Elephas maximus indicus: one gene and its partners. The protein of the gene in region 3 purifies or fractionates together with the protein of the main gene of each other region. This does not show direct contact. Links are inferred from orthologs where the notes say so. Each region holds a gene or a part of one and is shown on either strand. Other genes may lie near its edges.

What was found.
Region 1: the proteins of SOX2 (region 3) and KHDRBS1 purify together in Homo sapiens (affinity purification with mass spectrometry; 3 studies listed by BioGRID and IntAct, with this or other methods). This does not show direct contact. The link is inferred for Elephas maximus indicus from reciprocal best matches to the Homo sapiens genes SOX2 and KHDRBS1.
Region 2: the proteins of SOX2 (region 3) and XRCC1 purify together in Homo sapiens (affinity purification with mass spectrometry; 3 studies listed by BioGRID and IntAct, with this or other methods). This does not show direct contact. The link is inferred for Elephas maximus indicus from reciprocal best matches to the Homo sapiens genes SOX2 and XRCC1.
Region 4: the proteins of SOX2 (region 3) and DNAJB6 purify together in Homo sapiens (affinity purification with mass spectrometry; 3 studies listed by BioGRID and IntAct, with this or other methods). This does not show direct contact. The link is inferred for Elephas maximus indicus from reciprocal best matches to the Homo sapiens genes SOX2 and DNAJB6.

What each region holds. Positions count from the first base shown.
Region 1 is NC_064821.1:72,957,574-72,965,232, reverse strand, and holds the start of KHDRBS1 (KH domain-containing, RNA-binding, signal transduction-associated protein 1), read right to left. Parts: upstream 3,154-7,659; 5' UTR 2,947-3,153; coding exon 2,568-2,946; intron 1-2,567. UniProt on the Homo sapiens protein: Recruited and tyrosine phosphorylated by several receptor systems, for example the T-cell, leptin and insulin receptors. Once phosphorylated, functions as an adapter protein in signal transduction cascades by binding to SH2 and SH3 domain-containing proteins.
Region 2 is NC_064829.1:106,923,594-106,931,520, reverse strand, and holds the start of XRCC1 (DNA repair protein XRCC1), read right to left. Parts: upstream 3,269-7,927; 5' UTR 3,182-3,268; coding exon 3,131-3,181; intron 2,710-3,130; coding exon 2,617-2,709; intron 2,600-2,616; exon of another isoform or gene 2,394-2,599; intron 1-2,393. Other genes in the region: PINLYP (phospholipase A2 inhibitor and Ly6/PLAUR domain-containing protein), read left to right, coding at 4,317-4,386, 5,484-5,600, 7,289-7,441, 7,644-7,787. UniProt on the Homo sapiens protein: Scaffold protein involved in DNA single-strand break repair by mediating the assembly of DNA break repair protein complexes. Negatively regulates ADP-ribosyltransferase activity of PARP1 during base-excision repair in order to prevent excessive PARP1 activity.
Region 3 is NC_064819.1:33,261,760-33,268,419, forward strand, and holds SOX2 (transcription factor SOX-2), read right to left. Parts: upstream 2,200-6,660; 5' UTR 2,160-2,199; coding exon 1,203-2,159; 3' UTR 942-1,202; downstream 1-941. UniProt on the Homo sapiens protein: Transcription factor that forms a trimeric complex with OCT4 on DNA and controls the expression of a number of genes involved in embryonic development such as YES1, FGF4, UTF1 and ZFP206. Binds to the proximal enhancer region of NANOG.
Region 4 is NC_064838.1:2,562,712-2,570,311, reverse strand, and holds the start of DNAJB6 (dnaJ homolog subfamily B member 6), read left to right. Parts: upstream 1-4,308; 5' UTR 4,309-4,643; intron 4,644-4,691; exon of another isoform or gene 4,692-4,838; intron 4,839-4,860; 5' UTR 4,861-5,080; exon of another isoform or gene 5,081-5,146; 5' UTR 5,147-6,792; coding exon 6,793-6,857; intron 6,858-7,600. UniProt on the Homo sapiens protein: Has a stimulatory effect on the ATPase activity of HSP70 in a dose-dependent and time-dependent manner and hence acts as a co-chaperone of HSP70. Plays an indispensable role in the organization of KRT8/KRT18 filaments.

The DNA of each region.
Region 1 (7,659 bases), on a different chromosome or scaffold from region 3:
GCCTGGGGGAGTCGTTGTCCCAAGTGCTGGCCTCTACTCTCTGAGTTTTATTCTTCTGCATTTTGGCCTCATCATCTTCACTGTCCTGTTAGCTCTCCGATGCTTTCAAACAGATTTTATTTTTAATACTTTATCCAACTAGGCCTTAATTTTTAAGTACAAATTGTAGCAGGTGGGGGGAAGGGAGGTATAAGTGTGTGGACCTAGAGTTCTAGACTCAGACTGAGTTCAAATTCTGGCTATGTTGCTTACTAACTTTGCTACCTTCAGCAAATTATTTCGTCTGTGTACCCCGGTTTCCTAATAGGTGAAAATAAGGGTAAGAGTAACTTCCTTACAGTGTTACCACGAAAATTAAATATTTAATGTAAAGCACTCAGACCAGTGCCTGGCACCTAATTGTTATAGCTACATTTTTCTTACATGTGTCCTCATCATATACTACTACGTACTATTCCATGTTCTCAGAATCTGTCTTTTCCAGATCATTTAGAAATACCCTAAAAGCTGCACCCAACATAGATCAAGACTTATCCATGCTAAGAAGTATCCCAATTCTGTTCTTTCACTGAGCCAGTAGTACCTCAATCCCATCTCTCTAGTTAAAATTTGAGTTTGGTTAAAAAAAAAAAAAGGGGGGGGGGAGACATCAAAAAAGCCAAAGTTAAAAAATTAAAAGGCACTCTTTTGGTAGAAGTTAAGCAATGCAGGCAGGGAGGGTGAAAATTATAACTAACTTTTGAGGATCAATAGTTTTTGATGGTTACCCTAAGAAACCACCTTTTGCTTAAGAGATGACCACCACACTGGATGCCTGATGTTCGGTTACAAAGGCAAAAAATATCCTGAGTTTCATACCTTGTTGGGTACCGTGGATTTACAGCTAGAAGACAGCTGAGGTGACAAATTATTACTTAATGATTATAGGTCAAAGAGAGCTGTGATAGTGCTTTTACACATCATTTAACCTTCATAACTCATCATTCCCACTCTACAGATGAGATTACTGAGGTTCAGTTTCCCAAAGCCATGTAACTAGTTAAGGATCAGAATTTTAAACCAAAGCCAACACCTTGAAGTTCTAAAATTTGTTACTTTCTTTTCCTCATACATGTTATCTGGACTGATTATTTGAAGATTTGGGTAAATAAAAATTAGAATATCAGGTCAAGCTTTACCAATCAGTCTGACATTCCTAAATCTGCATGTACATTTTTTCAGATTCAATCAGACATATTTGGTGTTTGCTATATGCAAGGGATTGTGAAAAATTTAAAGATGAAAAGCAATTACTGCCCTCAAAGAACCTGCCAGAAGAACACAATAAACATTAATGTTTCAAACAATGTGGATGGGTGGACAGGGCAGCAAAACAGTGAGTTAAAAAAATGTAAGCAGTTTATCAAAAAGTTTTTATTCTTGACCCCCACGTACTTTAGTTTACGGTGTTGAAAACTAGACTCCTTACCAATGCTGGAAGATAGAGAACAAAAGGGAGGGAAACGATATTTTCATAATGATCTGCCTTTTATATCAATCTGATCAGAGTCCAACTACTCATTTAGTGTTAAAGGCTGTGAATTTCTACTTAGGAAAATTTACGTATCATAAGAAATACTTACTAAAATGTCTTAACGAGAAGCAAGGCAAATCTGAGCGACTAGATGCTTGGCCAGGGCCGATCAGGAAAGGAATGCCAGTCTACAGACAGAGAACAAAGACTACCATTCCTGATCTCTAGTTCACAACTGAAACCAATAGAAAAAACCAAAAAGATCGAGCCTTTCACGTACAAGCATCGCGAAACTTCTCTCAATCTCATTTGGAAACGGCAAGCAAACCATCCTGGAGTTCCTTCCCTCTCTCTCTCATCTCATTTCACTGTCTCTAGGGTTATTTTTCCTTCTTGAATGATGAAGGTGAACGCACATCATAAAATAAAGGGGGCCAACCTTTTGGCTTGTCGCAATTAATCATTTTATCAGCCGAAGTCGGAAATCTCATTCGGAAAACCTCAAGCTCGGATTCCCACAGGTCGCTCCTACCTGGGGGAAACTTAAGCTCCAGTTACCGCTAAGTCCGACCGGACCCCACAGTAGACGGCGCGCTGGACAGGGCACTCCAGCCTCACCTCGGCCCTCCCTCCCACGGTCCCTCTCCAACCGGGCTGTGTCTTCATCTCTTACACCACCCACCACCTGCAATCGAAAAGGCTTTCTTTCCCTTTGGGAGAACAGGGAAATAAACATTCATTTCTGGAAGAATCTGAGCACTCAGAGCGCGGGGCAGCTGCAAGAGGTGGGAAAGGGAAGGGTTGGAAGGGTGACGGAGAGCTCAGCACCATCCATCAAGATCTCTGCGCTAAGAGATCGCCAAGCCGCCTTCGGGCCTCCACTGCAGCCTAGAAATTCTCCCTCGCACCCTGCGAAAGAATGAGGCTTTGGAAACCAGGTTCCCGAAGATAAGAGTAGGGGAGTTCACGAATGCCTCGGTCCCGAGGGGGCGGGAAGCGAGAGGAACAAAGCCGCTGCCACCCACGCCCCCGGGTGGCCGGGCGGCCCGCTCACCTGCCGTCAGCAACTGCATGGCGTGAGTGAAGGACGGGTCCAGCGAGTCCTTCTCGGCCATAAGCTCGGGCAGGTACTTGTTCTCTGGCTCCATTTTAACGGAGGCAGTGGCTGAGGGGGGCAGCAGCGGGGTCGGCGCTGGACCTACTGTCGCATCGGGACCGGTGGCCGAGGGCGGCAGCAGCGGTGGCGGCTGCGTGGCGGGCGAGGCCCGGGCGCCCCCCCGGGATCCTCCTCCGCCTCCCCGGGACCGGTGAGGCAGCGGGGGCTGCCGAGACGGTGTCTGACGCACTGAGGGATGGGCACCTGAAGGGTCCATGGAGCCACTGCGGCCCGAGGACCGGCTCATGCGCGCGGCGGGATCGTCCCGGCGCTGCATTTGGGAGGACGTGCGGTCAACGGATCGAGGAAGAGACGCGGCAGCTGCAGAGGCCCGAGCGGCGGTTGGCGAAGGTGGGAGAGCCTGGGCGATCGCGACCGAAGCCGACCCGAGCGACCCAGCAAAAGAGAGCACCGGAAATGAGGCGGCGCGCGTGCGCAGCCAGCCACCGGCACCGCCCTTGGGTTTATCCGCGGAGAACAAAGTCCCTAGTGGAGTCACAGCGCCTGCGCACCACCTAGGCGCCCGAGGAAGTCGCCTCCCCACTCCTCATTTCCCTCTGAGCCCGCTAGGCCTAAGGTTTGTGCGCGTGCGCGGGTGGCTCCGGCTTCGTTCGTTTTCTTTTCCACGTGACTCGGCGCTAGCGGGACACGTGTCTCCTCCCCCTTCTGGCCGAGTGCGCGGAGGGGGCAGGGACTGTGGAATGTCTTTGTCTGCGCGGGGGCCCGCGGAGTGTGGGGCGGGAGAGCTGTTACTCGCGGGGCCACGCCCCCTTCAACGGCTGAGCTGTGGGGCCAGGTTGCGTTCAATGGGCTGGGGGTGGGGGTGGGGGTGGGGGTATGGGGTGAAGTGGGGAGTCGTTGAAGTGTGGAAACGAAAGGAGAACCGAGTAGCGCACCGGGAAGGAGCGAGAATTGAGGCCGCTGGGCAGGAAAGAGGAGGGAGAGAGGCTGCCTAAGTGTGGAGAGGGGGAGAGAAAGGGAGTAGGAGAAAGGGTGAAGAGGCAAAGACTAATGGAGAGTTTGACGTAGGGATGAGGAGTGGAGATGGGGAAGGGAAGCTTGGAGGGATAAATTGAGGAAGGACGGCTTAGTGGGGAGACTAAATGCTGTTGGGAGAATTTGAACTAAGAGGGAAGATTCAGATCGGAGACCTGAAATCTCGCAATGGCACGCACAAAGGGAACCAGAGAAGTCTTATCCCATGGCTTGCAATACAGTAGGCTCTTAAACGTTAACCTTTGTTGGTCAGAGAAGTCTTCGTAAAGGAAGGAGTGTTTTAACACTTATTTACATATCGGTCTGCTTTCACTCAGTCTGTTTCTTCCGCAAAAAATGGGGCTAGAGCTTAATTCGTGGCGGTTGCATCATGTGGGGTGTCTCTTCTTCGGATGAGTGACTTCGGATGAGCGTTAGTCCTTCTGCCTCTGTTGGGCCCTCCATGATGGATTATTCCAGACTTGCTCAGAGAGACAGACCCTGCTTTGAAGACCAGGGTACACACCGCACAGTCTCCGTGCGCGTTCGCCTCTTGCTGGGGCTGGTATATGCAAAGTGGAGCCCAGGTCACTACTTTCCAATGAACATTCCCATAAAAGGTTAGTGCCTTCTCTAACCTTTCCTTCTCTCCACAGATTTTGACTTCCCCCATTCAAAGCATTCACTACCATCCCTTTTCTTTCTTGATCACTTCCCCCAATGAGCCCACACTGTTCAAAAGCATTTCTGGAAATTTTCTTTTGGGTGCCTTGAAACTACTGAATTTTGAAATCAGTGTAATTTGACATTATTAAATGTAATCATTTTTGAAACTTACAAGTCTTCAACTAGGGCACATAAGGGCCTGGCTACCTTTTTCTGGTGGGGGTGGGAAGAAATTACCTACAGAAATCATTACAAAACACAGATATCTCCATAAATTGTCTTGCCTGTCTTACTCCCTCAGTGCAACCACAGTGCCCCCCCCCCCCACCCTTATCTCCAGTGTTTGGTGCGGCACTTTACTTTGAGGTCACATAAGAAGTGGCTCTTGTCCTTAGTTTATAGTCCAGTAGGAGAATAAAAGAATGTTTTGAATAATTGTAATGCAGAATGCAATATGACAAAGTGTCAAAAGATAAGGGAAAATTAAGGGTTACCAGAGATCAAAGCAGGGGAAGAGAGATGTCAGCCTGGGAAGAATGAGTTCCAGGCAAAGGGGAGCGTGAATAAACGAGCAGAGATGAGAACGTCAGAAACGCGTCAGAAACGCATTCACGGAATGGGAGTAATCCATTTGTGGACTGTGAAGGAATAGGTGGGTTGGGTGGAGAAAGAGACTGCATGGAGGGAGGAAAGGGGGCAGAGAGGATTTATAGCTCCCTTGCAATTCATTTCTGCCGCCATCCCTGAAAATCCTGCTTGGGTGGTGGTGTTACAAATGACTGAAGTGTCCTTGCTCTGTAGTGAGATGCCCAGATGGAGGTACCTTGAGCTGAGGCTAATAAAACTTTGATAAAGAAGTGTCTGAGAAGGAGTTGGGTAGTGGTGCCTATGGGTTTTCTAGACTAGGATCAACAGACTTTTTGGGTGGCAGGCAAACCTTTGCTTACTTTCTCTGAGGGTGGGTTGAGGGAAGCCTGTGTAACCTCCACGAATGGGGGATCCAGCAGGCTTCAACCACCTCCTCTGTTGTTGCAGCCAGTTCCCAGGAGAGAAAGGGCCCTGGGCAGGAGAATTTCTCTTCCAAGAGTGTAGTTAACCTGTTCAGTCTTAAACATCTTTAATCAGTTGTCATTCAGTCCTTTCCTACTCATGGGGGCCCCATGTGTGTCAGGGTAGAACTGTGCTCCGTAGGGTTTTCAATGGCTAATTTTTTGGAAGTACATCACTTGGTGCCAAATATGTGGAGGGAGGGGAGAGGGGACACAGAAATGGGGACTCAACATTGAGTAAGAGAGAGTCCTTGCCCTCCAGGAGCTCTTCATTTAGTGAAGACAAATACGTAAGCCAAGAGTTACCACATAGTGTGAAAAAAGTTATAATAGAAGAACATACAGACGGTTGTGGGAATGCACAGGAAGGAGTGACCAACTGTGGCAGGTGGTGAGTTAGGGAAGCTGGGACTTGGCTGGCTGCCAGGTGGAGAGGGAGCAGGGCATTTAAACGTTGGGCGTTCAGCAAAGCTTGGTCTTGTGCCTGTACTGTCGCCTCCGTGCCCACAGCTCTGGAATTTAGATCTTCAGCCCAAACTTCTAAGTTCTAAACCCAGAGGCTGTTTGTATACCTGACATCCACATTTGGATGTCTCACTGTCCTTTCAAACTCAACATGTTTTTACCATGGTACTAGCAGAGCAGCTTTAGGGCCCAAATGACTTAACGTAGCTCAAAGCTTGGGGAAGCTCCTTCTTCTTGAACACAGGCCTGCTCCAGCACCTTGAGGGCATCCAAAAAAAAAAAAACAAACCCATTGCCATCAAGTCAATTCTGACCCTGTAGGACAGAGCAGAACTGCCCCATAGGGTTTCCAAGGAGCACCTGGTAGATTCAAACTTCTGAGCTTTTGTTTAGCAGCCTAACACTTAACCACTATACCACTAGGGTTTCCTTGAGAGCATCAGGGCTAGAAAAACATAAGGAGGCACTCACTTTCCAGACTTGCTTGCCTCACTCTAGCCCTGGTGTTGCCCTTAGCACCCTCACAGTGGGCACCTTTGCTAGGGGCGGTGGGCGGGAGCAGAAGGGAGCAGAGCAGGGCTGATGTGCCCGCAGACTGCCTTGTCTATCAGGCACATGTGAAAAGTCCCTTGAAATGTCCCAGAAATACCTGTAGGGACTTTGCGGGGGCAAGAACAGAATATCTTCATGATTGATGTTCCTGTGGCTTTGTTTGAATCCACAGTCCAGAGAGGCCTGCTTGATGTTTGAACTATAATGATCTTTTTGGCCTGCTTCCTCAAACAGCAGGTGAGCCACTTTAAGGCAGGCACCATTTCTGTTTATGTATAAACAGAGACAGGTACAGAGAGGGCATTCAGTAAATGCCTTCAAAAAAACTCCCATTCTCCACCCTGCCTTCACTGCCAACCTGTGTTCACTATCTTAGGGAACAACACCCTCAACTCACTGCCCAAGGCAGAAATCTGGGAGTCGTCCTTAACTTCTACCTGCTGTCTCATAGCTCTACCCGCATCGTATCAATTCATTACTAAGTATTATTGTTTTTACCTCATAAATATCACAACTCCCGTCCACTTTTCTCTATCTCCACTGCCTCTACTTCCTTCTGAAGTGCCATCATGTCTCACCTGAACTCCTACCACCTCTGACCTGGTCTCCATACTTCCACTCCTGTGCCTCTTCCATCCATTCCCCACCTAGAAGCTAGCATATTTAAAAGCGCAGATCTAATCATCTTTCTTCCCACCCTCCATTCTGTCACAAACACACACACATACACACCTGGTTAAACCTTTTCAGTGGCTTCCTCTTGCCCTTAGATAAAGGCTAGAATCCTTTATCTGACCCAGCCCTGCTTGCATGGCTTGGCCCCACCTGGCTTTCTTGCTTCATCTCAGGCTATTCCCCTCCTTAGTTCCTGTGCTTGGCAACCCTGGCCTTTTTCAGTTCCTCAGACAAATCAAGACTCCTGTGTCCCCCAAACTTCACACATTTTGGTTCCTCAATCTAAATCTCCAATCACTGCTCCCCTCCCTGCAATCCAGCCCTCCCTGCCCCTGCTGCCTTTTTTTTTTTTTTTAAAGATACCATAATTTCTACTCATCCTTCGGATGTATTAAAATGTCACTTCTTTAGATCCGGCAACTTTATATTCTTAGTTAAAAAAAAAAAAACCAAACCCACTGCCATGGAGTCAATTCTGACTCATAGCGACCATTGGGAAATTTCACATTTAAAAAAAATTCTGCATTTTTGGTTTTTCTTGAAACATCAGAAGTTCTAGGAACCCTGGGCCCATCCTCCTCCAAGAAATTAGCTGCTTTGTTTAGCCA
Region 2 (7,927 bases), on a different chromosome or scaffold from region 3:
CATGAGGTCGCCATGACTTGGGAATCGACTCGACAGCAACTAACAATTACCTGGAATGTTCTTAGGCAGATATCTGCGTAGTTCACTCTGCTCAAATGTCACCTTCTCAGGGAGGCCTTCACAATCCCACCATTTGAATAAAAACCATCGACCACCGCCCTCCTCTCCTGAGCACTATTGCCTTCAACCTTAATTTTCCCCCACAGCACTCATCATCTGACATATATTTTACTTATCGACTTGTTTGTCTGTCTTTCCCTGCCAATATGAAAGCCCCACAAGGCCTGAGATACCTTTCGGCTTGTGCTGTCCGCTGTTCTAAAGCCCAACACCCAAAACAGTGCGTGGTCTATGGTGTCAGTACCAGCTGCCATTGAGTTGATTCCAACTGATGGTCAGAGTGGAACTGTGCTTCATAGGGTTTTCAATGGCTGATTTTTTGGAAGAAGATCGCCAGGCTTTTCTTTTGAGGCACCTCTGGGTAGACTCAAACCTCCAACCTTTTGGTTACCAGCCGAGCACATAAACCTCTTACACCACCCAGGGTCTCCATGTGGCCTATGACCACTTGCCGTCAAGTTGATTCTGACTCTACAGAAGGTGTTTAATAAATACCTATTGAATAAATGCATGAACATATGAATGAACGAATCCATCTACTCCCAGGCCTTCTGGTCCTGTCCCTGTGCTGACAAGTCCCACACCTCTGGCTCTGGCTCCATATCCAATCCCTAACTGTCTCTTGGATGCTGCCCCATGAATGCCCCAAAGTCATATCAAACCTGGATGTCCCAACAAACACATCACCTTCCCAAGCTGCTCTCTCTCTGGGTAACCCATTTCAGCTGCACTCTTGCCCTCAGTCTCCCAGCCAAAGAACCTGGTACCTCATCTGGCTCCTCCTGCTTCCTCACCCTCTACGTCCAGTCTTTTCTGCCTCCAGTCTCCGTGTTTCCACTGCAACATGCAAACTCAAACATGATTTCCCTTGGGGTCACCTGATCATAAGGAAGCCCAGGAGAATCATCACCCAGTAATAATAACATAAATCCCACCCCTTACACAAACACCTGCATGTTGACAGATCACTCTTGCAGACATTATGTCACTGAATTTTCACAACAACCCTGGGCTTAGATCTTATTATTCCTAATGGACAGATAAGAAAACAGGTTCAGAGAAACGAAACATTTGCCTGAGGTCAGAGAGTGAGTAAGAGGGAGAGCATGAATTCAGGTCCCGATAATAAATCCTGAGCAAGCTGTACCTCCCTCAATTTAAAACACTGACTCTTGAGCCAGCTGCATAACTTCTCTGGGCCTTAGTTTCCTCATCTGCAAGATGGAGATAATAATAGACCCTAGGTCACGGGGCTTTTTATAAGAACTCAACAAGTCAATCCATATGAGGTGTTTAGAACGGTGATTGGCAGGTTGTAACATAAATAAATGTTAGTGCTCATTATTATTATGTTAGGGTTTCAGGAAATTTTGTGGGTCTGTGTATTTTTCCTGGGAAGAGAATTCTCAGCTTCTATCGAATTCTCAAAAGGCTCTATGATCCCAAAGTTTTTTTTAGAATCCCTGGTCAATACAGAGACCAAGATTGTTCAGTGTCAAATACAATCATGCAAGCCTTCCCAACATTCCTTCCCAAACACCCCCACATTCAGAACTAAGGAATGTGGCCAAAATCAAGAAAGTGTCTAAACAGAAAGCAGTAAGTACAATCTCAGCCTCAGAAAACCAAGATCACGCAGGTGAAACAGTCGATGCTTAATACACATTTGGCATTCTTCTCCCATCGTTTTCGTATTCCTGACAAGAACATCCTGTGTGGAATTCTGTAACTATCTCAGGTCAAGCTGCTCTCTCCTATTTGCCTCCCTCCAACCTCACAGGAAGTTTTAGTGGTACAAATGGTTAAGTGCCCAACTACTAATTAAAAGGTTGGCAGTTCGAATCTACCCAAAGTTGCCTCAGGAGACAGGCTTGGCCATCTGCTTCTGAAATGTCACAGCCTTGAAAACCCTATGAAGCAATTATACTTTGCACACATGCGGTGGCCGTGAGACAGAATCAATGTGATAGCAAAACATTAACAACATTAATAACCTCACAGGACTGTGGAGTGAATTCAGTGAGAACATGTACAAAAAGTACTCAGAAAAACGCCAGCCAGCACTCCAGAAATGGTAGCTGAGACTGGTCACTTCACTTCCCCTTCCTACACCTCAGTTTCCTCATTGTTAAAAACGGACTTGACTGGCATAAATGATCTTCCTGGACACCTTCCTGCGCTGAGTCCACTGACCTTAGTAGTCAGGATACATGGCAATAATTCACTCTGTTCCCATTGAGGAAAATAAGGCCCGGAATGTGGAAGCAACCTACCAGGGCCACATCCTGATGCCATGGTCATCTCTGGCCTAGTTCTTGGGTCTCTTTTCTTCTATGCTGTGGGGCACAGGGATCACACAACCCATTTTCGGGGTAAGGAAGCTGAGGCCCAGAAGGGAAAGTGACTCAGTGCACTGCCAGCTGACTCAAGAGCTGAGCCTGGACCCTGGGTCTCCAGACTTCTGGTGAGACGAAGGTGGGGAGAGGGCAGGGTCACCTGGAGGACCACAGAGATGGTCTTCTCGCCTGCCTTGGCTGCCCGCCATTTCCGGTAAGTGTCCGCCTTGAGAAGGTTTTCTGCACAGTGGGTCTAGGGACAAGAATGGGAGAGGGTTATGGCACTGAGATGAGAGCTAGGCTCAGCTCTCAGATTATTTCTCCGAATCCTTCCAAGCTCTCTGCGATCCCCCAGATGTAAGTTCCTCTGTTAATCCCCCCACACCCTGCCTTGAGTTTCCTCTACAACCTTCTCCTCTAGAAGTTCACCTCCAGGCTCTCCCGAGAAAGTTCCCCTATTGCTCCTTTTCTCTCCGGAAACTCCACAGACGCCCGGAAGTTCCTCTATCCCACATCTCTCCCAGAGTTCACTTAGACCCTCCTGGAAATTTACCCTTGGCTTTTTTTCTGCTTAGACCTTCCTGAAGTTCCTTGTTACACCCCCAAAGGTTCTTGTAGAGCACCCCTCATTAATCTCCTTACGTCTTCCAACCTCCCCCACGCCGGCCCCTCACCGAGTCCTGGCTGCTGCAGGACACGACATGACGGAGGCGGATCTCCGGCATGTCAAAGTCGTGGCCTTCGCCTGGCCCGAAGGAGGCAAGTGGGCCTGGGTTTGGGGGCGGGGAGGGTGGGGGCGCTCCTCTGCACGGGCTTCAGTACGCAAGCGCGCAAGGCTCGGGCCTTTCAAACTGCGGCGCGCCGGCGCCCGCGTCGACATTGCGCATGCTCAGTTGCGCCTTTAAGGCGCGGAGTGGCGAGGACCCAGCAACAAGCTTTTCTCTAGCCCCGCCTCTCTCTGACCCCACTGCTCTAACCTCTCCTCCCGGTGACGTTTACATCCTGCTTCCTGGGCGCCTAGCAACTGGAGCGGCCTCCGGGATTGGTCCCCAGGAGAAATTCGCCATTCTCATTGGACAATGCGATCACCGCCCAAACTGAAGCCTAAACACAAGACAGCCAACCTGAGTTGGATTTTCGCGGGGAGCCTAATCGGCTCCCTTGGCTACACGCACACACACACGCACACACAGCTTAGAGTACTCCCACCCACGCCTCAGTTCCCCAATGTGACCTGTGAGCATCTGTCTCCTGCCACGCCCACGCTAGCCGCGGACAGGCACCCCTCTGTTCGGTCCGCAACAGACCCAGGCGTGCAGCCCTGGACGGGGTCGGCGCCAGAGAAAGCCCGGACATAAAGAAGGGAGCATGAGCCAAGTGCTAGAAGGAAAAGGGAAGGAGGACAAGTCGCCTGGGTCCTGCAGAACAAGCATGGACATGCTGGGCACTCCCAGGTGGGGCCCCACCCATGCTAGGTGCCTCCTTGGGAAGGTGAGAGGGGATCCCAGTCCTTGTAGCTGCTTCGCACCCACAGGGAATACAGTGACCCCACTCAGACCTTGGGCTTTGAGTAAAGAAGATGTGGGTGTGAAAAATGGGAAAGTGATCTCTTGGGTCCTGATGGAAGAGGGTGCTGGAACCCCAGACTCCCGGGATTCCAGTGGAGGAGGGGGCTGGGCACCAGATGCCTGGATACCTTTTGGATGCTAGTTGCACCTCCCCTACCCGGGGGCTGCAGAGACCTGCCCTGGGCTCAATCTGACCTCAGCTCCTTCTCACCGCAGGTGAAGGTGGGTCTGGACCCGCCCCTCCTCAGCTTCCTATAAGGGCTGGGGACACGGGACTACAGGTTCACACACCATGAGGACCTCTGCTGGACCCAGGGCCTTCCTGCTGACCTTCACGCTGCTCTGCACCCTTCTGGGTCTCGGTGAGTGACTGGGGCCCTGGACTCCTGGGACCCTCAGGAAAGCAGGGACTATAAAAGAACATTCAGCAAATGTCCTCAGGGGGTAAAGTGGGGTACCCAGGGATACAGACTCATGGAGGAGGCAGACACTAACAGAGAGTCTGGGGCCCCAAGGGAAGAAATGCTCATATGACTGGACCCCTGAGAGAGAAGGGGGCTTGATGGGCTCTGAATCCTCTTTCCCTTAGGTAGGGTCCCAAAGCAACACATCCAAATTCTAGAAAATCAGATGAGAGCATGACTAGAAAGGGTTTTTTTGTTTTGTTTTTGTTTTTTTAATTAAGAGAGAGAATATGAATGAGAGAGAGCTCCTTTTTCCCTGGACTCTTAATAACTTCAGGCCCCCTTTTCCCTCAGACCCAAGGGTCCAGCCCCCCAGCCCTCTTCTCCCTCAGACCCAGCATCCCAGGCCCCTCCTTCCTCAGACTCAGGAGTCTGGACACCAGCCCCACTTTCTCCATGACCCAGGTGTCTGGGCCCCCAGCCCCTCCTCTGTCAACACTAAGGGGTCCATGCCCCCAGCCCTCCTGGTCCTCACTCTCCCTCCTTGGACTGGAGGCAAACTCCAGCTTCAGGTACCGCTGCCTGAGCTCCTACTGTTTGCAAGACCTAAGTTGTATCTGCAAGTGGGAGGGCTCCAAACCCTTGAACCAGCTGAACCTGAAACTTCATGAAAGCCTTCAGTACGAACCCTCCCAGCTCTGAGCTTTCTCTGCGGATCCTGTCCTCCAAAGCCCCCAGCCTTGTAATTAGGTAACAGGCTTCACGGTGGAGTCGCTTCCTGCCCTGGGAGCAGCTTTGGTGACATCATCACCGCGTTCCTGTCAGAGTTCTGGACAGGTCCCCGGACACGCAGCAATGTCCCACCCATGAAAAACCAGAGAGACACCAGCCTCTCTCAAGACCCATCAGTCTGGGCCTTGGACCTTCCTCAGGACCAGAAATCCAGTCCCTTCCTCCCTCAAACCCTGCCCCCATCTCCCTCGGGACTCCGAAGTGGGAGTCGTGGCCCACTAATCGCACCGCCCATGACTACAGCCCCGATCTCTACCCTATAGGATGCCCACTAAGCTGTGAGGTGTGCAAGGGCCCTGGGCCCACGTGCAACGGAAAAATGAAGACATGCGAGGATGGCAAGGACGCGTGCGTAGTCGTCGTGGGGGAGTCGAGCACAAGTACGAACGCAGGGCTTTTGCAGGGCTTCTGACCATAGCTAGGGGGCTGGGGGAGAACCTTCAGGGTGGGAAAAAGATACCACCAGGCGGAAGCGGGGCGTGGGGGGGGGCGGTGCGGGAGGGGTCATCCCAGTTCGCAAGCAGGGTGAGGCGTGAGAAGAAATTTGGATGGGGTAGGCAAGAGGAAACAACCATCACAAGGTGGAGGGAGGACAACTGAATGGAGACACAAGCCATTTTTAGATTTTTAAAAAACGAGCAACTCCAAAAGAAGATGGCTATGGGGGAGGGCTTAAAGAGACTTTCTTAGGCGGGAGGGGGTGAGGAAAGGACAAGGAGGAACAGAGAAATACAGTGGAAGAATCTAATAGGCAAGGAGAACGGGAGGGTGATAGAGAAGAAGGAAGAGACTGGGAGAAGGTCCGAGGAACGTGATCAGGGAAGAGACCATTTTGGACAAGAGGGAGGAATCGACCAAAAGATGTCTTGAAGAGACCACCTCAGGGATGTCGGGGAGACCATTTCTGACAGGAGGAGGAGAGATGATGTTGGGGTAGAGGGAGAGAGGGAGAGACCATTCCAGACGGGGGGGGACGATAACTACGAATTATGGAGAAAATCATCCTAAGGGGGGGGACTGGGGACGAAGAATGAAATGGAAGGAAGAGGGGGAGCATGACTTAAATGGAAGAGACCATTCCAGACCTGAGAAAGGCTGAAAGAACACCAATGGAATAGACCACTGGGGGGGGGGGGGATTTTCTTTCAAAGCTGAAAGAGACCATTCCTCACAGGAGGAGAGATGGGGCAAGATGCAGGAGGAGAGGCTGTGACAGGAGATGAGGGGTAACCCTGCGTGTAGGAAGAAACCACCCTGACAGGAAAAGTTGTATAAGAAAGTTGGGCTAGAAGATTGCATGCAGTCCCACCCACGCAGCAAACGTTGGCTGGTGGCAGAAAGGACTTGAAAGGCTTGAGGAGAGCAACCACAGCAGATAGGGGAAGATATAGACCCTGAAGGGGTGTTGAAGGGAGCTGGAGAAAAGTCACCCTTGGGAGTGAGAGAAAGAAGGGAAACCACTGGATTGAGCTGGAAGGAGGGCAGCAAGAGACCATCAAAGGGAGGCCTGGGGATGGACCATGGGGGAGTGTGGAAGAGACCGCCCTAGACAGAGTAGGGGCACAGGTGTTGGGGCGGGAGTGTGCAGTATCCCAGGGTTTGTTGGAAGTGACCCCCCCAGGCGCAGAGGGCGAAAGTTCTGAGGCTGGAAGAGACCACCTCAAGAAGACATGGGGGGTAACCATTAAACGGCCTGAAAAAGCCCACTACAGGCTGGACAGGAGAGAAGGATGGCAGTGGAGTGGTTTGAAAGAGACCATGTCAAGCAGGCACCTGGGGAGTTGGCAATGGAGAGCTGCAGTAGACCCCCAAAGACCTAATGCGGCCTAGGCAATGAGTAGGGAGGGCTTCCTAACATGCCACTCCAAAGTATACCCAGGCGGACCAGGCGTATGGCTTTAGAGGGCTGCAAGAGACCACCCCAGGCAGATAAGGGGGTATAGATTTGGGGCTGGAAGAGATTGTCCCAGGCAGTTGCTGGTGGGGGCGGGTAGGGTTAGAAGAGCCCTCGAGGCTGGGTGTGGCCAAATGCCTTGCCCAGCCCCTTATTCCATCCTCCACCCCACAGAGGGACGTCAGTCGGTGAACACCTACAAGGCCTGCATGAAGTTCAAAGACTGCTACTCCGGCTTTGTGTCCACCACCATGGGCCCCAAGGACTACATGGTTTCCAATGCATACTGCTGCCAGAGCGATGGCTGCAATCAAGGCTCCATACCCTGTAAGCATCTACCCTGGCCCGCGCAGGGAGCCCCTTCTAGCCCTGTCCCAAGAGCTGTGTGGTGACATCTGGCAAGCACCTTACTTGCACAGAGCCTCAGACTCCCCACATGTAAAATACGTGGTGGCTCTGTATCCCCCAGAGTGGTTGTGTGGTTGGGGGATGGGCTTTAATGTCCTTGTTCACCTTGCACTCCCCCCAGCTCCCCAAAACAATCGAACCGAGAATGGCCTCCAGTGCCCAGCCTGCATTGCGCCCTTCCAGGAGACTTGTCCTGGGACCCAGGCAGCCCGCTGTGTTGGCCAGGAGACCCACTGCATCTACTTTGCTGGCAATGTGCAGGCTGGTGAGGAGCACCTGGGTCACTGGAGGAGGAGGGGGCCTCGGAATTGGAGGCCCAGACTTCTGGGCTCCAGGGAATAAGGGGGCTCCAGAGAACTAGGAGAGGAGGTTGCTGGGATCCAGGACTCCTAGGTTGTGAAGAAG
Region 3 (6,660 bases):
CTTTCTTGGCTGATCACAGTATTATAATTCCCCGAGGAGTTAGGTATAATCACAGGGTTATCCAAGTAAATGAAAGACTCAAGCATAATTTCAGTGTCCATATTTCAAAAATTTATTTATCTCAAACTGTGCATAATGGAGTAAAAACTTAAGTTGAAAATGTACTGTTATAAGGATGGTATTAGTTCAAATATATACACGGATTCTCGGCAGACTGATTTCAAATAATACAGAGCCGAATCTTTTAAAATACAACTACGGAAAATAAAGGAGAAAAACCTTAAAATATCACAATAAATTTACAGAAATATTACAAACCATAAGAAAATATTTCAAACACAGTAATTCCAGGTTGCCTTTTTTATCTGAACAAAATGGAAAGTTGAGCAACAAAAGCTACTATAAATTACCAGCGGTGCCAACCTGCATGGCCATTTTTGCTTTTAACAGTAAGTTAAAAAATTTAGTACAATCTAAAACTTTTGCCCTTTTAAAGAAGACCACGGAGATGGTTTTGCCAGTACGTATTCTTGATTTTTCCTTTTGTACAATTTCAAAACAATTAAAATGTCCAAATCTGAGTAATTTTCTTCTTTCCGCGTTTGCAACTGTCCTAAATTCCAGCTGCAGAATCAAAATTCAGCAAGAAGCCTCTCCTTGAAAAATATTGGCAAATTCTCAGCTTATAAACAATGGACATTTTGATTGCCATGTTTATTTCGATAAATACTGTACAAAAGTTGCTTGCAAATATTAAAACATTTTTTCGTCGCTTGGAGACTAGCTCTAAATATTCTTGGTAAAGACATTTGCAAACTTTCTGCAAAGTTCCTACCGTACCACTAGGACTTTTAAAAAGTTTTGCGTAGTTCTCTCTTCTCCAGATCTATACAAGGTCCATTCCCCCGCCCTCCCCACCCCCCCACCCCGCTTTTCTCTGTACAAAAATACTCCCCAAAAAGAAGTCCAGGATCTCTCATAAAAGTTTCTTCGTCAGCGTGGCGGTTTTTGCTTGAGCGTGGATGGGATCGGTGTTCTGTTTTGGAGCTGTCATTCGCTGCGGGCGATGAGATTTTTGCCGTAGTTGAGCGAATCGGCTTTTTCTCCGGGCGGTGTCTTTCTCTCTCCACTTTCGCGCCCCCTGCCCTTTCCCACGTTTTTTCTTTGCAAATATCTGCCCCCTCCAGTTCGCCGGCCGGCCCTCACATGTGCGAGAGGGGCAGTGTGCCGTTAATGGCCGTGCCCGGCACCGGGCCGCTCTGGTAGTGCTGGGACATGTGAAGTCTGCTGGGCGCGGCGGGCTCCGGCACCTCGGCGCCGGGCAGGTACATGCTGATCATGTCCCGGAGGTCCCCGGCCTGGCAGGGCGCCCTGGAATGGGAGGAAGAGGTAACCACGGGGGGGCTGGAGCTGGCCTCGGACTTGACCACCGAGCCCATGGAGCCGAGAGCCATGCCGGGGGTGGCTTGCTGCGTGTAGGACATGCTGTAGGTGGGCGAGCCGTTCATGTAGGTCTGCGAGCTGGTCATGGAGTTGTACTGCAGCGCGCTCACGTCGTAGCGGTGCATGGGCTGCATCTGGGCGGCGCCGTGCGCGTTGAGGCCCGGGTGCTGCGGATAGCCCAGCTGGTCCTGCATCACGCCGTAGCTACCGTTGCTCCAGCCGTTCATGTGCGCGTAGCTGTCCATGCGCTGGTTCACGCCCGCGCCCAGGCCGGCGCCCACCCCGACTCCGCTCGCCATGCTGTTGCCGCCCGGCGCCAGCAGCCCGCCGGGCAGCGTGTACTTATCCTTCTTCATCAGCGTCTTGGTTTTCCGCCGGGGCCGGTATTTATAATCCGGGTGCTCCTTCATGTGCAGCGCGCGCAGCCGCTTGGCTTCGTCGATGAACGGCCGCTTCTCCGTCTCCGACAAAAGTTTCCACTCGGCGCCCAGGCGCTTGCTGATCTCCGAGTTGTGCATCTTGGGGTTCTCCTGGGCCATCTTGCGCCGCTGCCCGCGGGACCACACCATGAAGGCGTTCATGGGCCGCTTGACACGGTCCGGGCTGTTTTTCTGGTTGCCGCCCGCCGCCGCCGCGGTGGAGTTACCGCCGCCACCGCCCCCCGAAGTTTGCTGCGGGCCCGGCGGCTTCAGCTCCGTCTCCATCATGTTATACATGCGGGCGCTGTGCGCGGGCCCGGCCCGCCGGCGGCCGCAGACCTTCGGCCCGGCCGGGACTTTGGGGGGCCCGCGGGCGGGGGGGAGAGGAGGGGAGGCGTGCGGGGGCGGCGGGAGCGCGGGGCTCGGCGCGGAAAAGCAGACGAAGGATAATTTGCGGGGAAGAAGAAAGAGGCCAACTGCAATCAAGATCAGACACCGCGCTGCCCTCCTCCTCCTCCTCCTCCTCCTCCTCCTCCTCCTCCTCCTCCGGACGGTCCCGCCGCCGCCGACTGTTGTTATTTTTTGGAAAGGCTTAAGTCTGGGGCTCGAACTTCTTTCGTTCTCTCTCCTCTTCTTTCTCTCGGTCGTAGTCTTAAAGAGGCAGCAAACTACTTTCCCCCTTTTGCAAACACCCTCTTCTCTGCCTTGACAACTCCTGATACTTTTTTGAACAAGTTAATAGACAACCGTCCATGTGATGGGGCTGTCAGGGAATAAATGGGTTTCCAGCGGCCAATCAGCGCGCGCCGGCTCCTCCACTCCAGCCCGGCCTCGCCGCCGGCTTTGCATGAAAGGGGGCGGGGCCTGTGCGCCGGCCCGCGGGGGAAGGGGGAAGGAGGGGGAGGGGAAAGGAGGGGGGGAGGGGAGGGGAGGGGAGGGGAGGGGAGGGGGCGGCTCCCATAGCCCGCCTGCCAGCCACTAAGAAACCTTTGTATCCCCTCCCTGCAACAGGTCACACCACACGCCTTTTCGGAGGAAGTGGGTAAACAGTACTAAGACTACGTTTTTTTTTTTTCCTTTAAACTTTAACATTGATTTACTTTTTGCTGTGGAGCGCTGAAATGCGGGAAGGGGCTAAGGTGCGGCGGCCGGGCAGGGCCGAGGGCTGGCTCCGGGCGACTGGCCGGCTAGCATTTCAGGAAGCAGGCCGTGCAGGACCTGGTGTCGTTGTCCCCCTCTCCTCCGCGCACGTCCGCCCAGCTGCAGCCCCTCGAGGCTTCTCCTTCCGCGCCCTTCCCGCGGCCCCGCGGCCTCCACGGGTGCCAGGGCTCTCTGGCCCCCTCTCACGGTCCCGACAAGAAGTTCGGAGTCTGGGAAACACTGTCCCCAAAACCCTCATTGTTTCCACACAACTTGCTCTGTTTTTAAAAAGAAATCCTGCTCCGGCCATGAGGCAGACTCTAGAGCCGAGGACAGGCAGGGCCTTGGTGAGCTGTGGCAACCACCCTTTTTCCTGCCCGAATCGGGTTTGGCCCAGCAAACCACAGCTGGTCCCCTTGCCGCCCCCTCCCCCAGCTCCCACCGTCTCCTCCAACTCGGTCGGTGCCCACGGATGCGCACGCTCGTACCCTCTCCCCATTTTTCTCCTGAGACTACCCAAAGAAGGATTTCAGTTGTGCGGGTTTCCAACGGCGGCTGGGAGAAGAAAGAGACAGAAGGACGCTCAAAAGTACAGGCAGTGGGGGGAGAGTGATTTCAACTTCCAGGCATCTCACGGCGCACACGGAGGTGGCATTTGGGCGGACTCACAAACTCCCTCCCACGCAGAGTTCCCAGGACTCCAGCAGAACCAGCCTGGGCAACCCCCCCGCTGGCTCCGAGGCAGGGGCCGCATCTCCGAGGGGGCTGCGCTTCGAGGGGGCTCCTGGCCTGGGAGGCGGGGGTAGGGCCCGCCACGCACAGGTGCAGGCTGCGCTTGCAGGGAGAAGGGGGCCAGGACTGGGCAGGGGGAGCCCAGGAAGGCGGGGGCTGGAGGATGGGATGCGCGGTGGGGGTAGGGACTCAGGAATGGTGCCCGCCCAGGGCCCAAGAGGGTAATTTTAGCCGCTCTCCCATTGTCCCGACGTAAAGATTTCAGTAGGTAGGCGCTCAATGCCCAGAGCAGTGGCAGCACGTCCGTTACAAATAGGTAGTTTTGTCTCTCTTGTTGTCGCTACACGGAGTCAAACAAAGCCCGGTCTAAGTTTCCTTCCACTCTCTTGTTGGGATCTTTGTGGCTAAAATGCACTTGACTCCAAAGGGGGAGGGGGGGAGGGAGGAGAAAAAAAAAAAAAACCTGATGCCATTTCTATTTTATAAAGGGCTTAAACCATCAGGGTTACTTATTTTCTTCTGTAACTCTCACCGCCCTCCCCTCCCCTGACCTTCCCTTACGCACCCTAAGCAAACGTACTGAATGGTATCCACCGGCCACGTTCCGTTTGTTATCTTTGCAAAACGGGGCATTGTTTTGTTCCTTACTGTCTTCTTCTCAATAACCGCCCCCTCACCCCTCAAAAAAAAAAAAAAAAAAAAACCCTCAAGCTTCCCCCAATCCCTGCCCTCCTGGCTTTTCTCTTCTTGGCAAACTCAAGCTAAGTGTGCCCACTGGAAATCCAGAAAAGTTATGAAAAAAATAAATCCTGCAGACTAAATTATTTCGAACCAACCCTTCTTCCCCCACAGGTTCTCATTTTTCTAAGTTGCCGTTTGTGTTTGCTTTCGGGAACTCAAGAAGGGTGAAGCTGGACTTCTCGATATGTATGAATATGTGGTATTGGTAGTCTTCAAAATAAAGCAATGTCTTCTGTTTAATCGAGGTGTTATATTAAAGTAAACGCTGACGTCGAGATTAGGAAAGAAAAGGTTGAGAGAGCTGGAGACCGCGGCCACCAGCTTTTCAGCGCGGCTTGTTTCAGGGATGTGGCTGGTGCGCCCCCTACTGGTGGATTTGTTTTCCCAAGACTACGCCTTTTCCTTAAAAAGAAAGTGTTTGGGATTAAAGGGAAAAAAATGAGGGGGATGGGAGGAAGATCAAACTAATTACACGTAATCTAAACAAAAGAAAAGTTAACATATCATACAAGCTGTGGACCAAATCATAAGAATCAGATTTAATTTGCTTAGCTTAGAAATGTACATATAACCTCGAGATAAGTGGGAGGTTAAGCCATGGGAAAAAATACGTACGAATTATGAGATTCAACATATGAATGAATGATTATTGTCCAGAAGCCACGAAGGGCAGACCCAGCATTCACTTTATGATTGGGTACGAACTGGTCTGCGCTTAATGGCATTCTTCCGAAAACTAAAAAAAAAAAAAAAAAAAGCTCTTGGATAATTAAGTTCGAATAAAAAAACCCAAGGGGCTGGTGCCGATAATAGTGCTGTATACGTATGGAAATAAATACTAATAACAGATCGTTAGAGAAGGAAATCTTTTTAATCTCTCTCTCTTCCTCAATCATAGCAAGATGCACAATTTTTTCCCCTTAAGGTGATATATAAAACCTTTTGCACATTCTCAGCCCGAACTCTATCATAATGCATTTAAGAGGTTAAAGGGGCTGCTAGGTCCTTTGTTAATTGCTTTTATCATATAAATAAGGTATGGAAATACATTACAATTGTGTTCTTACTGGTTGCATTTATGTGCAGCTTTATTTTAATTAAGCCTGCTGTACTTATCAAGGCGATAAACTAACTGTGGCTGGCATTTATGAATAACCATGTGCTAAGAAAACCAGATTAAAGAAGATGCTGATAGCAGAGACAATTTTCTCGTTAGATTTTTTGGAACATATGTATTAAAAAAATCAGATCGCTGGCCACTCTATTTCAACCCCTAAATATAATACTAACTATAACAACCACAAGAGTCGACAGAACAACACTGTTTCAGGATCTTAGCAGACAACTACAGTATAACAATACACCAGTGACTACTAGGGAACCAAAATAAGACTTGGAACAGAGTTCTTTGTCCTGTGAGAGTTTAAAACGTTGCCATTGACACAATTTATGAAAACGGAAAGTCCTTAATCTAAAGAGAGTGAAACATTTCCCTTCCATGGGCAGGGGAAAAAAAAAAAAAAAAAAAAACCCTAAGAACTTTTAGCGCAAGGTTAAAAAAAAAAAAAAAGGAACAAATGCATAACTACTGGAATATTCTGATTCGATTTTGTTTTACCGTAGGCTGGATCCAAAAAGGGCTGCTAAGTGTAACTCAATTTTAAAGATTTTTTTTTTGCATTGATTTATCTTTCCTAAAGCCCCCACATCCCTCTAAATCTTCAAGTATTATATCTAAAGCCAACTAACAATTTTGTGGAGACGGGGACTGTAGACTTATTTTTTCTTCTTAGTGGCAAATAGTGGTTTAACTTGCAGTAATTAGGTGAGAACTAGCCAAGCATCTGACTATTATGATGCTTGTTAAATAACGCTTCTTTTCTGCATCTGAATTTGAGTGTGTTCCCCTCCTCTCTTAATCTTCTTATGGAAATGAAGGCAGACGGCAGGGAACCTGCAGAGTCTTGGAGAATGTCCTTGTTAACTGGAATTTCTCAGCATTGCTAATTAGCAGAGTTTGACGACCACCAGTACTGGGGGGAAGCTCTGTTTAACCACTCGCTAACCATTCCGAGGAAGAGCGGACTAATTTTATTCTGTAATTAAAACCTGAAAAGGGCCCCATTGGACAGTTAGGGCTGTGAGAGTTTTATCTCCCCGTGAAATAATTACTGCTTTGATAACT
Region 4 (7,600 bases), on a different chromosome or scaffold from region 3:
TATGTTGAACACATTCAAACAGTTGAGAAAACTGTGTGAATAACCGTATACTCACAGGTACATTCCACAGTTAGTATTTTGTTCTTTTTTAGGTATCTATCAAGATAATTAGATATTAATGTTAAGTTGGAGTAGTTACAAGAAAAAAAAAACCGTATAGTTTATCTTCCTAAATTCTTTTGAGTTCTGGGAATAAATCTATTTAAGACAAAACATTTTGATTTTATAAATGTCAAATCTTGTAGTCCTTTTCATGGTTTCTTAAAGCTTATACCCACCCACTTTATAAGTCCCTTTTATATGTTATTTAAGGTTATGTGTTTCTTAATTTCACTTCGGTGAATCTATCAAATTGATACATATAGTTAAGTCTTTACATCTAAGTACATTCAGGAAACCCTGGTGGCGTAGTGGTTAAGTGCTATGGCGGCTAACCAAGGGTTTGGCAGTTCGAATCCGCCAGGTGCTCCTTGGAAACTCTATGGGGGGCAGTTCTGCTCTGTCCTGTAGGGTTGCTATGAGTTGGAATGGACTCAGCGGCACTGGGTTTGGTTTTTGGTTTAAGTACGTTGAAACTTGTGAGAACCGGAACTCAACGGGGCTGCCTTGTTTTTCCAGGTCTCGCAAGTTTTGCACCTTTGGCAGGGTGCTGCCTTATTCTTTTTCTTTTGTTTGTTTTAGTGAAAAATATTTGTGCTTTCTGTCTCTGACAGGGTTTTTTTTTTTTTTTTTTTTGCCTTACACGGGTTCCAGTTTTTGCAGGTTTTACCGTATATCCTAATTTCCTTTATGGTTTATTTGATCCAAGAGCTTTTTGAAAAACAAGAGTTTGAAGTTTACACAGTTGTTCCTTTGTGCGTTTCTGATATTATTTCTGTTTTTATTGCTTTTGTGAGTGTTCCAGAATTGGTGTGCATGCTCAATTATACGTGTATGTGCTTGACCCTGTTTTATGTCCATCACAGCAAGCGTATTAGCAGTGCTCAGATTTTTTAGGCTTACTTTGTGTCTGATCTGTCACAATGATGCAGTGATTGTGGGTGTGTGCCTTTTGCCTTGTAACTCTGCTTTTGCTTTAGATGTTCCATGAGGCTGTGTTGGGTTCAGGATTCCCTGTTTTTTCATTGGGAAAAAATTGTTCCTGGTAATGCATGTTGTATTCACGTATGTCCTTCCTGGGGGTTTAGTACTGCTGAACGTTTTTGGTATTTGCCTGGTGAGTCTTTTCCATCCCATTAGCCCGAATTTTGTATGCGACTCTCGGAAACAAGGTAATTTTAAAAGTTCAATTTGAAAATGTCTTTAATATATTTGCAGTTATTGTGTTTAATAAATAATATTTATAGAGCACTTAGAATTGTGCCTGACTGCCATATGTTTGTCAAATTAAAAAACACAGCTTCCCTGCCTCCTCCCTCCCCTTTCTGCATTTTGTGTTGTTAGTGCTTGTCCTTAGGATTTTAGCATGCGTGCCATAGCTCTGTCTTCTGCCTCCCAAAGAACGAAGGAACCTTTAAATGAGCTCTCCTTATCCTGTGATTACTAGAACTTTGTTGAATCTTGTTTTAAAACCTCCCCAAGTTGGTCATAATTATGTATCACTTTTTTAAATCACTTAAAAAGAAACTGGTGTTTAGGGCTACCAATCTGTTTTAACAGTGTTTTTGCTAACCATTATTGTTCGGTTACTACATTCTTTAGAAAGGGTTCTTTCAGTAAACTTTGTCTTAAAATATCAGTCTGGTCCTTCCTTTGACTGGTAATTTAGTTACAAATAGAGTTCTAGGTTGATAGTTATTTTCCTCTGCATTTTTCAAGGCTCTTTCTTTCTTTGCCTTCTGGCCTCAGTTGTTAAAAATCTATCCCAAAACCTGTTGCAATCAAGTCAATTCCGACTCATACGGCACCCTATATCTTAAAAAAGAAAAAAAAAAAAGATGTCTGTTATCTAAATAATTGGAGTCCTGATGACACAGTGGTTAAGAGCTACATCTGCTAACCAGAAGATTGGCAGTTCAAATCTACCAGCTTTGGAAACCCTGTGGAGCAGTTCTGCTCTTCCTGTAGGGTCGCTATGAGTCAGAATTGACTCGATGGCAACGGGTTTGATTTTTTTTTTTTTTTTCTAAATGACATTCTTTCGCAGATAGTCTTTATGGTTGCTTTTAATAAAAAAAAAAAAAATTTTTTTTTAATATCTACTATATAAAGTCTCGGAAACCCTGGTGGTGAAGTGGTTAAGTGCTACTAAGAGGTTGACAGTTCAAATCCGCCAGGTGCTCCTTGGAAACTCTACATGGGGCAGTTCTACCCTGTCCTGTTGGGTTGCTATGAGTCGGAATCGACTCGACGGCAGTGGGTTTGGGTTATTATCCTGGGTGGTGGTTAGTTGTTCATGGGGTCGCCATGAGTCGAGGCCAACTTGATAGGAGCTAACAGTAACATTTTCTCTCTGATCTTTCCTTCTGATTTTCTTCAGATTTATGTTGAACCTTCTAATTCTGTATCCATGCCTCAATACATTTGTGTACTCTCCTGGATAATTTCCTCAGGTCTGATTCCGAGATCACAAACTCTGTCTTGTTGCTAGTTGCTGTTGAGCTTCACCAAACGTTGCCTGGTTCTGCGCCATCTTGATAATCATTGGTATGTTCGAGTCTGTTGTTGCATTCATTGGGTAGTTCCTTCCAACCTAGGAGGCTCATCTGCCACCACTATCTTGGATAAGAGCCTGTTGTGATCCTTAAGGGATTCACTGACCAGTTTTTGGAAATAGAGCGTCAGGCCTTTCTTCTAAGTCTGTCTTAGTCTGGAGTCTCTGCTGAAGCTTGTCCACCATGGGCGACCCTGCTGACACTTGAAATACTGGTGGCATAGCTTCCAGCATCATAGCAATACACAAGCTACCACGGTAGGACATTCTCTCATTAGTTCTATTTAACTTGCTTTAAAATCCCAGTGGTTAGTAATAATTATGATTTTGGATTGTTTTCCTATGACCTGATTGTTTTCTGTTTACCTGTAGCGTAGCTGCTGTTCCTTTGGTTTATCTTAATTACTTTATGCATGCTTCATTTTCTCTTTCAGGTTCTTATTTCAGTTTCGGGGGCGGGGGGGGGAGTGTTGTAACTTAGGCATCCTGAGTTCTTTCTTCGTATTTAGGATTTAGTTATGAGCTTGTCTTTGGCAGAATTTGTGTTTTCTGTGGGAATCTTTGCGACGTGGATTGTGGAGATGTTTCTCCTCCACACCTTTGTTGCGGCACTATCCTGGGGTTAATATTCGTTAATTTTAGGAAAGCTTGGGGCACTGCAGGGTAATGCAGGTAATAAAAGTCAGTTTAGCTTTTAGGGCCTCAGGCTCTCTGGGCTGCCTTCTCCTTTCCTCTTAGTGGTTCAGTGGGAAGAGCTTTTCTTGCCCCTCTTTTTTGGAGTTGCAACCCCGTAAGTCTTGATGAGCCCACGTTTATGTAGGAATCTTAGTTACAGCCACTGGTTTCTTGTGCCTGCAGAGCAGGCCTTCAGCCTGAAACCCCAACGCCCTCCCACTCCTCTGCTTCCCTCTCACACAGATGTACAGGCTACCTCAGGATTACTGCTCTTGCTTGTAATTCCTGTTTGCTTCTGGCCCTTGAGCTCTTTCTGTCTTTTAAAAAATTGCTTTATTGTTGTAAAAATATATATATAACAGAACATTTGCCAACTCAACATTTTTTAAGTTTACGATTCAGTGACATTGACTATGTTCGTTACATTGTACAGCCATCACCCACTGTTAACAGAAGGTCAGTGACCCTAAGCAATGAATGACTCCCCCTTTTCTACTCACCTCCCATCATTGGTAGCCGCTTATAAATTTTGGTCTCTACATTTATTTGCTTATCCCATATATTTCCTATTCTTTCTCTCTCATTGGGAGCTAAGTCGTCTCTGCAAGTTTACTTTTTGTAATGTGTCTACATTTCTAGGTACTTGTAGTAGGAAGTCCTGTTAGCTCGCTGTGTGACTTTTGGAGTTAACTGTTTTGGTTTACTAGCTTCTGGATTGGTTAGAAGCGAGTCTGAGCTCTGTATGCTTCTTCCTAATCTGTCGTATAGTAGGTACTAATCTGTCGTGTGGTAGGTACTAATCTGTCATGTGGTAGGTACTAATCTGTCGTGTAGTGGTACTGATCTGCCGTGTAGTGGTACTGATCTGCCGTGTAGTGGTACTGATCTGCCGTGTAGTAGGTACTGATCTGCCGTGTAGTAGGTACTGATCTGCCGTGTAGTAGGTACTGAACTGTTGTGTAGTGGTACTGATGTGCCGTGTAGTAGGTACTGATGTGCCGTGTAGTAGGTACTGAACTGTCATGTAGTGGTACTGATGTGCCGTGTAGTAGGTACTGATCTGCCATGTAGTAGGTACTGATGTGCCGTGTAGTAGGTACTGAACTGTCATGTAGTGGTACTGATGTGCCGTGTAGTAGGTACTGATCTGCCGTGTAGTAGGTACTGATCTGCCGTGTAGTAGGTACTGAACTGTCGTGTAGTAGGTACTGATCTGCCGTGTAGTAGGTACTGATCTGCCATGTAGTAGGTACTGAACTGTCGTGTAGTAGGTACTGATGTGCCGTGTAGTAGGTACTGATCTGCCGTGTAGTAGGTACTGAACTGTGGTGTAGTGGTACTGATGTGCCGTGTAGTAGGTACTGATGTGCCGTGTAGTAGGTACTGAACTGTCATGTAGTGGTACTGATGTGCCGTGTAGTAGGTACTGATCTGCCATGTAGTAGGTACTGATGTGCCGTGTAGTAGGTACTGAACTGTCATGTAGTGGTACTGATGTGCCGTGTAGTAGGTACTGATGTGCCGTGTAGTAGGTACTGATCTGCCGTGTAGTAGGTACTGAACTGTCGTGTAGTAGGTACTGATCTGCCGTGTAGTAGGTACTGATCTGCCATGTAGTAGGTACTGAACTGTCGTGTAGTAGGTACTGATGTGCCGTGTAGTAGGTACTGATCTGCCGTGTAGTAGGTACTGATCTGCCGTGTAGTAGGTACTGAACTGTCGTGTAGTAGGTACTGATGTGCCATGTAGTAGGTACTAATCTGTCGTGTAGTAGGTACTGATCTGCCGTGTAGTAGGTACTGATCTGCCGTGTAGTAGGTACTGATCTGTCGTGTAGTAGGTACTGATCTGCCGTGTAGTAGGTACTGATCTGCCGTGTAGTAGGTACTGAACTGTCGTGTAGTAGGTACTGATGTGCCGTGTAGTAGGTACTAATCTGTCCTGTAGTAGGTACTGATCTGCCGTGTAGTAGGTACTGATCTGCTGTGTAGTAGGTACTGATGTGCCGTGTAGTAGGTACTGATGTGCCGTGTAGTAGGTACTGATGTGCCGTGTAGTAGGTACTGATCTGTTGTGTAGTAGGTACTCTGTAAATGTTCTGGTGTTGTACAGGTGGAAGTGTATACGTGTTTGGAGTCATGATGTAAAATTTATTTGTTACCATAGGTTGCTTCCCAAATCTGGAAAGCATAAATATAATAAAACTGTGCAAAATGGAATAACTCATAATTTTGGCATTATTTGACCTCGACATCATGCAGCCTCAGCAACGTGGTGTATCTGCCTTAAGAATATATGATCTCATGTATTCTTTTGTAATCAGAATATTTCTTTTGAAAATTCCTGGAACCATAGTTTCTGGAAAGGCTACTGAAAGCCTAGCTTCAGTTTGGCTGAGTGGATTTATAACAGAACTTGCTTAATTGGTTGAAGTTATTTTATACTTTTGCATGTAGTAGACCTGTTCTATGGAGTTTCTTGTTCATAGGTTTAATAAAGTGATTTAGCTAGTCAGATTTGAAGAAGTAGGAGAACTTACACTTTAATACTGCTGCTACCACTTGCCAGCACTGAAAGGGGCAGCGTGTGTGTAGTTCCTGTCTGGTTTATGGGACCAGAGGCTGCAGCCTCTCAAGTAGGGAAACAGAACTGCTTTTTACTGTGTTACCCTGTGACGTAAGAACCAACTGAACCCACCGGAGGTGAAGCAGAATTTGTGCTCCTGTTTTCTGCTGAAGGCATTATCTGTACTAATAACTTGTAATTAGTATTGACAACAGGAAAATATTGTTTTTGTTTGATAAATGGATGGAGAATTTGAGCCAGGGGTAAAATTACACTAATAGCACGGTAGTCAGATTTCCATGTTATCTCCCAGGAAGACAAAGCAGGGGTGTGTGTGAGAAGACTTTTTCTATTTGGGTAGTGAGAGCTACAGAAACCCGGAAGAGTGTCTTTATGTCATTCCCATTTTAAGTTTCCTGAGGACAGGGACAGTGTGTTCATCCTTGTAGACCCAAAGTCTTGCACAATACCTGGCACATGGAACGCGTTGGGCAGATGAGGTAACTGAAGGTCTGCCTGTGTCTAGGAAAACAAGATTCCCAAAATGAGCCTGCCGGTTAAGTGATCAAGTGGGCAGTGCGTCTCTCTGCCTCAGAGTCACCTGTTAGTTTTATTTAGTTTAGGCTATTATTAGGCTATTTCAGAACTTTTTTCTCCTGTATCAAGAAGGGGTTTAGAGCATGAGACCTGGAACCTGTTGACAGCCTGACAGGGATAATGGTTAGCTAACAAAAATTATTTCTGTCACGTAGGGCCAGTAGTTGCTGAGATGTGGTCCACCTCACCCTTCCTCCATTTCCTACCCTGCACCCATCCCCCATTATGTACTGAAACTTGGCAGTCTTGTCATTGACCAGAGATTTTTAATTACAGGATTCGTTCCAACGATCTGGTAAAACATGGTGGATTACTATGAAGTTTTAGGCGTGCAGAGACATGCCTCACCCGAGGATATTAAAAAGGCGTAAGTAATTTTATTCTTGAAATAATAAATTTTTGTAATTTTACATTGGTAATTGGGTAGTGTAATTTTGTATATTGCCTATTAAATGGTTTTTGATGTATTGTAATAGCCTTTTAATGCCACACAGTTTAATTTTCACTTTAACAGAACATTCATAAATTGACATTGGTATTCTCAAACCTAGGCATAACCTAGTGGAATTCTGTTTCTGCTTTATAAAGTTCAAAAAAATTACTGATCATATGAAGTAATGCAGAAGAACCTGGAGACTGGGTTTTGAACTGTGATTGACTCGGTCCTCTTAGGCACCTTTTCTCGTAGTGCGGACCCAGAGCGTAGCACCGTAACTTACTAGGTGTAATTGCTTAAAGATCTAGGCTGCTAGACTGCATCCTAGACCATTTGAATCAATTCTGATTGACATTAAAGCTGGAGAACTACTCATTGCCTGTGGTACCTTAATGTTTCTGACCAGGGCTTGTCTGATTTGAGGAGGGCAAGTCCCGGGTGACAGAACAATTTGTAGGTTGGCTCTGAAGGTAACTCAGATCTGTTCACTTAGATGTTAATGATAAATATTGAGCGTACAGCAAAAAGGTCATTATTTATATTTTGTAGATTTTAAGCATAGCTAGAGAGACCAATTAATAATCCTGAAAGAAGTGGAAATTAGGTTTTAGTGTATGTTAGAGGAACCAACTTTTTTGTTTTTGTAACAGTCGTTAATCCGGAATGGAGTTTAT